2 linked regions of the Oryzias latipes genome follow. The protein of the gene in region 1 interacts with the protein of each later gene in a pairwise test. Links are inferred from orthologs where the notes say so. Each region holds a gene or a part of one and is shown on either strand. Other genes may lie near its edges. The genes, in order: efhc2 and ncdn.

Region 1 (3,781 bases):
CAGCACTTACCCATAACTGATCTTGACAATTCTAGTGAAAATGTCAAGGACACATCCCTGTTTGAGTCCCACAATAAAGTATTATTAGTATACTTATTCTATACTAAATGTGAGCCAGTACACTTGAATTTTACTTTTTATATACCATCTATTTATTATAAACTTAAAATGTTCCAATTTAATCTGAAGAAGTATTCATGAAGTATACAGTGGTCCCTTGCTATGACGCAGTTAACTTTCGTTTGTCTTACAGCGCACTGTGGTCTGCATCCTGATTGGCTTTTGACATTGCCAATCAATCTCCTTTGTGCCGTGTCTCCTGTACAGATACGTGCAGCTTTCCAAATGTACATATATCTTCTGTTGTGATCAGATATTTGTTTTCATTCTATAATACTGGATTTATTTTTCTACGAAGGTTCGGACTTTCAGAACATGTGTCGTTTTACTTCGCTGATTTCCCCTATTGCAGGTTCTTTATGGAACCCATCTCCTCCAATAAAAGAGGGAACATTGTATGTCCTGTATGCTCGCTGTACTTATACTCAAGTTTACTAAATAAAATAAACCTCAAGTGTACTAGTATTTGCCAAGAAAACCGATTCAACTTTATTCTGAGTACTGCTTTTATAATTGGTCCTCCCACGACCCCTTATAGTTTGACAGATAAAACTACTGTAGACCTGTAGATTGGAAGAGGATTATATAATGTCTGAAATACTTGATAAAAAAACAGCTGGTCAATTGTGTGTCTAGAGCATTGAAAGGAGTCCTGGTTTTATTTCAGAAAGGTGATGCAGATCGATTCATGGAGATTTGTGGCCTGAGTGTTTGCACATCACAAGCTGCTGGTGTCTTTGTCAAAAATGAACACTTAAAAACTCTCTGAAAATGTGAAAGTAGGTCAGAGCAATATGGATTCTTACTTGGTGAGCAGAGTTCCTAACAGGTTCTCGGAAACAGGGAGATGAACAGATTCACAAATGTTCCACGCCATTTTCCTGGGAATGCGGCCGTTTCTATAGACAGAAAAGGAAAGCTCATAAATCTACTCAAAATGTCAAACTGTTAATTAAATCAGATCACTTTGCAGAAGATGTTGGACAGATGCAGTCGTCAAAAACTTACAGAAGATTAGACCTGAAAGGAAAAAAGGCCAACAATAGACCACACCCAGTCCAAGACTAATTCTACCTTACAGCTTCATTTATTCATCAAGATGTGGATGAACAGAGACCATTAAACATGAGTTAAGAGGAAAAATTAGAGTGTACTTACAAATTACATGTGGATAATTTATCAAAAGTAAAAATGTATATTTAAGCAGTTGGTCTGGAGACACATTAGTGTTGATCTTTGCTGCTATTTGTGTATACTGGAAGTGTTACTCTAAAACTGTTTGTGGTCCATTATTCCTCACTCAAAATAATATTCACAGACTGATAAAACCGACTGATTGATAAAACACCTGCCAGTTGTTGCAGGCGAGCGCATTTCTTCCCAGGGTCAGGTGGGCTGGAGCTCAGAGAAGAAACAGAGAATCCCTACAGCTACATCATGGACTGAACAGACTTCAGCCAGAAGGCTGATTGTTGAGGTTCATGACCGTACAAATTTAAAAAGACAGAAAGATATTTGTTTGGAGAAGTTGAAAGGAAAACTTTTTCAAAGACGAGACCAGCTTTCAAAGTGTTTGGCCAAAAATGCTCAGTGTCTCATTAGTGGACAGCCAGGATTTCAGAACAAAAGGAGGAAAACTGAAAAATAAACTGCATGCATGCACTGCTTTTTGGTATAAATATTTAGAAGGGAGGAAGGACTCCAAAGAAACATGTCCTTCCTAAATGAGGCTTCATTGGTTGAATGTTGAGACAACCAAAACCTGCCACATGCTGCTGTATTGGCTGCTTCACTGTTGGAGATTCCTTCTTCCAGAAGTTCAGAACGTCGTACCAAAAAACCCCAGCAAAGAAGAAGGTGATTTGGGAGTGGAGGGAGGGAGGCAAAATCACATTTAGAGATTCAGCAAAATTTGAATCATAACCTTTACACCATGTTAACTGTACTTATATCAAGATTTAAAAAACACACAAGCCATTGTAAGTTCCCTACAAGAAGTCAGGATTAGTTCCCACGGTAACCAAAACAGATAGAATGGAGAGTTCCTTTAATTAACTGAAGATTCTGGTTTAGTGTCAGCAGAACTAATTGATTCCCCCTTTAGTCTCATTTTTCCAGTTGATATTTTAATGGTGGTCTCAAAGAAGGAGTGCAGAATTGTTTTTATCCTCAGTTGTTTTCCCAGAGCATTGTTGTCATGCCATCTTAATTTAAAGAACAATGTGCAGTAAATGAGGTTGTCAACAGCGCCGTTAACAGATGCGTCAGTGTGGCGCTGCGTGTTCCAGCTGTCCATGCTAGCTAAGCTGCAGACCTCCTGAAAGCACACAGAGAAAAGTAGAACAGAGAGGAACGCAGAGATGAAGGAGGGTGTGTGTGTTTACGTCCTCCAGAACAACATGCTGGTCTTCTGCGTCCATCTGGTTCCACTTTTTCCTTCATGTAAACTTGAATTAAATCCTGCTCTGAGGAACAGCGCCACTGGCCTCATGATTGATTTACAGTTGTGGAGCAATTACCCTGTTTTTGTGTTGGTGAGTGTTCTGTGGTGAAAACATTTATCCTCACACTAAAAGGCACGTGAGTGACGCTGTGTGCACATCACTTACTTGAGTGGGTCCTGTTTGTTAAAGGCTAGGGTCAGGCTTTGGAAGTCATCGTAAAGCTTTCTCCTGAGTGTGTCCTGTGCCACGGCCAACATCAAGGCCACATCATCCTCAGGCTGCTGCTGCTCGGAGAAAGTTCTACCCAGAACCAGCACCTCGTGGTCCACAAGACCACAGTCTAGATCCATCAGCATATTCCTAGGCATAGAAGCACAGAAAGAAATTTGCACAGAAAATCTGAGACAAAACTAAATTATATTCAGTTTCATTTGTATTCAGGTTGCAGATTCTTTCAGTATTTTAATCAGGGATGGGGGATATGGACAAAAAATAAAATGTCCCATTTTTTTCCAGACCAAATTCAGTGTCCAACTTCAATGTTTTTTGTCTCCTTCCTTTTACTCTTTAACAAACATGACAAATGACGGGATATATTTGACTGTTTTATTTCAGGGTCTCTTTTGGAAGTTGGTCTGAATTCAAAGTGCAATGAAATACAAGCTGTCATAGGTTTGTGAGCTGCCGCTAGCTTGAGCATCTCTCAGAGAGCTGCCCTTTATCTTCTTGACAGAAGGCTTCTGTTTCAGGTGTGGAAAAAAATTTGCAGTACTCCCTCTTTTGGTAACAACAGCCTTCACAACAACAGCCTACAGCAAGCTATTTGTAGCGTCAAGTATGAAATCGCAAAACTAAACCAGTTCCATAGAACTGGGACTTAGAACCTGAACACACCATTGTACACTATACGCTCTGTTTAAATCCTGAGATTGGTGTTCCACTTGATTTTTCTCCAATGACAAAGCTATTCTTGGTTGTTTTCCATGCTAACCGCAGGCTTCCTCGTTCAACAAAACACAGGCGGTTAGTGTCTTTGCTCTCACGACTTTGAAGTCAAGATATTAGAATTACCTATTAGGTTTTTTTTTTTTTTTTTTTTGTGAGTAAACAGATTTATATTAAAAGGATTAAAGCGCTCATTGTGGTAAATGTGGTAAAGCTTTTCTTATATGAGCAGGGTCATCTGACATTAGTCAGTTCAGTTGTTTAGAAACCTG
Region 2 (4,386 bases), on another chromosome or scaffold:
GGACATTTCTCTTTTACGCATCATGGCCTTAATTTAGCTCAATACTCCATCTAGTGGATGTCAAAGGAATGACATTTAAACCACATTGACTTTATAAGGAAGTACACGAACTGTCACACTTTTGGAAACATTAGTTTTGCTGGTTTTTCATTATGTACTTTTAGGTATTTAAATTTTGGTGTATTTGTTCAAGGTAAAAATTCAATTTTTTGTTTATTGATAGATAAGTACTTCATACACAAATGCAGTTTTTTAAGTGGACTCATATTTTGTTCTTTAAAATTAATTATTTTTGTATCTCTTTAAAAAAATCAAATGAAACAATGTTTAAAAATCTTGAATCGCACCTCAGTTTTTTTTATTTGTGCCTTTTTTCTGCTGGTTGATCTTTAAAGACTTAAGGAGTAAGTTTACTGTTTGTGTTTTAAAAAGAATATTAAAGTTAAAGAAAATCACAGACACTTCTTCCGGTTGAATTTCACTGCATAAACATGTTTCAACTAATGCAGCTAAGATGTTTAAAATAAGTTGTTGGTTTTCATAGTCTTACTTTTTTTCTATTTTATCATAATATTAGTTTTAGCTAAATTCCATATAAATAACAGCAACGTTTTTGACAACAAAGCCAAACTTTTCCTCTTAATAGAAAACTTGCCGAATATCGAAAAACAATCTCTACTACCTTTAGCAAAAGGCAAGTACACCTGAAGTTTACTTTATGAAGTAATTATGAATATACTGTAAGTAGATCATGTACGTTTAGTATAATTTGTATATTAACTAAATACTTCTTCAGACTAAATTGGAACATTTTAAGTTTAACATGTACAGGCAGAATTTTAAAAGGAAACGTCAAGTATACTAAGTATATAGTTAAGGGTAATCTTAATTTCAAAAATATATACATACAACAATTACAAAGCCTATAAATACTGTTAGCTTATGTAAATCTTTAATCCTGTTTACATTAAACAAAGTCTTGCGCACTATTTATTTAATTACTGACTTTTTCTTCTTTTTCTTGTAATAATTTTTTGAAAATCTATCTATCTATCTATCTATCTATCTATCTATCTATCTATCTATCTATCTATCTATCTATCTATCTATCTATCTATCTATCTATCTATCTATCTATCTATCTATCTATCTATCTATCTATCTATCTATCTATCTATCTATCTATCTATCTATCTATATTTATGTTCAGGTGTGTAGAGTCGAATTGTTCTGTATGTTTCTTAAACACTAATAAAGTTATTTGAAAAAAGAGTATACTGCCAGTTAAAAAAAGAAACAATTTAATAAGATATAATTGATACTTTGAAATAAATTAGTAAACAATGAACGTTTAAAAATATTATGTCGAGTTTTTACCAAAAATAATACTCAAAATTAAAATTGCGTTGTTTCTCTAACGTCACAACGCCCAATACGTAAAAAATGGCGTTGGTGCCTTCCAGCAAACCTCGCTGTGATTGGCTCGCTGGGACTGCATTTCTGTTTTCATTGGTTGCGGATTTTGTTTTGACTACTTACTTCCTGGTTGGACCCCATGAGCTGTATTCCCGCGTGCTTATGGAGTACCACTAAGGTTGTTCATTTTCTGAAGCTTTAGATTCTATTTCTTCAGTGCGTTGACTAAGTTGGCCTGTTCCAACAAAGATAATTAAGAATTTTGGTTCCGTCGTAACGAGTCTGCATGGCTGACAGCGACGAGTCTACTTCTCCTGAAACTGAAAAGGAGCAGGGGAGAGGAGGAGAAGAAGGGTGTCTTACTGACACACAGGGACAGATGTTAGACAGATGTCTTCACGCGCTCAAGCAAGCGAAGAACGATAGTCACACGTTAGCCGCCCTACTACTGGTAAGTGATCAAGCTACACGATGAGTTTACTGGTTAAGATGGAGAGTGGTCGTTGCCTAGCAACAAGTCCAGTCAGCTTCTAATTACAAAAAAATGCTTTTATAAGTTTAATTACCTGTGATAATTCAAGTGTGAAAGCCTGTTTCCAATCTGAATACGGTTTTTGTTTTACAAAAGGATTGTGATTTTTACTGAAATTGAAAAAAAAAACTTTGTTGAACAAATAGGCAAAACAAGAGGATTTCATTCAAACAAAAGCTCATAATGTGTCTCTGGGTTTTCAGAGCTATGGAAAAAAATCTCATTTGTTGTAAAAGGTGCCCAAAAGTTTGGAAATTGAACCCTGAGAGTGGTTCTTGCTGCGCCTCCACAGATCACCCGCGTGTGTCCGGCGCGTCAGCTGGACAAACGCAGCCTGCGGCGCATCTTTGAGGCGGTTGGGCTAAACCTCCCAGCACGCCTCCTGGTCACAGCCACCCGGGAGGATGTCCCCGCAGGCATGGCCCCCTCTGACCCCCTGAGTCTGGGAGCCACCCTGCTAGCAGCTCTGAGCACAGACCCAGACATGGCTGCTCATCCGCAGCTCCTCGCCACCGTCCCCTTACTACTCAATCTCTTAGCTAACGGATCAAAGCCGGGTGCTCAGCAAAAGCCTGGAGGATTGAGTCCAGAAGGGGATGAGGGGTCAGATGGAGGTTTAGGTCAAGATGGGAGTAGTGGATCCTCCTCGTCACAGCAAACATTCCAGCTGGACGAGGCCACGGCCGCAGACTGCTACCAGGTGCTGACCTCCGTCTGCGCCTTACCTCAGGGTCCGGAGCTGCTCCTGAGCAGGGGGGCCGTCCCCGCTCTGTGCCAGGCTGTAGAGCAGAACCAGATCCTGAGTCGACAGCGGGGCCTACCCCTGCTGGGCCACCTCCTCTCTGCAAAAACCAAGAAGAAGGTTTGGAATAAACACCCAGCAGAGCTCCTCGCCTTGCTGCTCAGACTTTCCACTGACTTCTGCCGGGCCTCAGAACCAAACCGGCTCAGCTCGTGTGCCCAGCTGGCGCAGTTCCTGCCCCCAGCAGGGATGGCGATAGAGAGCAAGGAGCTCAGGGATGCCATGAGCTCAGTGTGGGAGCAGTTGAGACCCATGCTGCAGTCCAGGCTAACTCCCAGACAGATCGGGCCCATCCTGGTGCTCTGCGCTTGCCTGCTGGATTTGTACGGCTGGGACCAGGCGGGACCGCCTAAGTTCTGCTGCCTGCTGGTGAACCGGGCTTGCGTGGAGGTTCGGATGGGTTTGGAGGAACCACCGGGGAACGAGCTGAGCCCGGAGCTGCAGAACACGCTAACAGGTAAAGTACAAAAAAAAATTGTGACATATTTTTTTTTCTTACTCAGGGTGTGAAATGATTTCATCTTTTAAAGACCCGCTCCGATAAAAATGATGTTTTTAGTCTTTTTAACATTTTTCTGATGCTGGAGGACATCTATAAAGAAAGTTATGCACAAATTGGCATTTCTGATTATTTCTTTATTTAAATTGTGTCAATCAGGAGCAGATGAAAAAATGCTGTGGGAGTGGGACTTTTAATATAAAATATATATATTTATTGTATAAACTATAAACTTCTGAGGATTCTGAGCTTCAGAGACAAAAACGTTTAATCAATTTTTATAATCTATAAGAAATCACCAATAAACATAATTTTTCAGCATTTTGATGTTTTCCAAAGCCTCTAAAGATCAAATGATGGGATGGAAAATATCTCAAATTTAAGTTAAAGTTTATGTTCTATCATGTATAAATTATATTAATTCAGAAAACTTTTCTAATCTGGGGGAAAAAAGTCCTAAAACTGTCTTGGTTTATGCTCGTTTCTCCAATGGTTCTCTGTTTTAGCTTCTCTTTATCAGTTTTAGCTCCGCCCTCTCCTTCCCCACCAGTTCTCTACCTCTATGAAGTGTTCTTGGTTTGTTCTGGTTCTGTTGAGGCTCATGATGTTTTTTGTGGGCTACTTCATCATGTTCCTCTTCAGAACCTCAGAGATGAAGTCTCCTATGTGACCCGGTGTCCTTTATCGCAGGCTGCTACAGGATCTTGGAGGCGGCTATGGAGCAGGCCTGCAGCGCCGTTGATGCTCCGAGCCCCGCCCCTGCCCTCCCCGCCCTCAGCCTGCAGCAGAGCCGGCAGGTCCTGCAGGTTCTCGAGGAGGCCTTCTCTGCCGTCATGTTCTACCTGCAGCAGGTGACGTCTAAGCCCCTCCCCCCAATACTTCACTTCCTCCCCCTGGGCTTTGTGGATCATCTCTAACTCCATCTTCCTTCTCTTTTATTGTTTTTGTCAGGTGGATGCCAGTCGTTATGGCGACCCATTTGTTTTCGCCTCCTTCCGCTCCCTGTGCTCCTGGCTGGCTGAGGAGACTTCCTGTTTGAAGCAGGAAGTGATAGATCTGCTGCCGTTCCTGGTCGGGTACGCACGGCACCACCTGCAGGGCGCCGCTGCCGAGCAGAGCCTTTCTGACTGGATGGCT

Evidence for each region.
Region 2: the proteins of efhc2 (region 1) and ncdn interact in binary tests that used the Homo sapiens proteins (3 or more experiments, as listed by UniProt). The two-hybrid records come from large-scale screens. The link is inferred for Oryzias latipes from reciprocal best matches to the Homo sapiens genes EFHC2 and NCDN.

What each region holds. Positions count from the first base shown.
Region 1 is NC_019879.2:12,523,019-12,526,799, forward strand, and holds part of efhc2 (EF-hand domain-containing family member C2), read right to left. Parts: intron 2,925-3,781; coding exon 2,730-2,924; intron 1,020-2,729; coding exon 927-1,019; intron 1-926. UniProt on the Homo sapiens protein: Microtubule inner protein (MIP) part of the dynein-decorated doublet microtubules (DMTs) in cilia axoneme, which is required for motile cilia beating.
Region 2 is NC_019869.2:19,980,749-19,985,134, forward strand, and holds the start of ncdn (neurochondrin), read left to right. Parts: upstream 1-1,526; 5' UTR 1,527-1,702; coding exon 1,703-1,867; intron 1,868-2,151; exon of another isoform or gene 2,152-2,240; coding exon 2,241-3,207; intron 3,208-3,939; coding exon 3,940-4,100; intron 4,101-4,200; coding exon 4,201-4,386. UniProt on the Homo sapiens protein: Probably involved in signal transduction in the nervous system, via increasing cell surface localization of GRM5/mGluR5 and positively regulating its signaling. Required for the spatial learning process.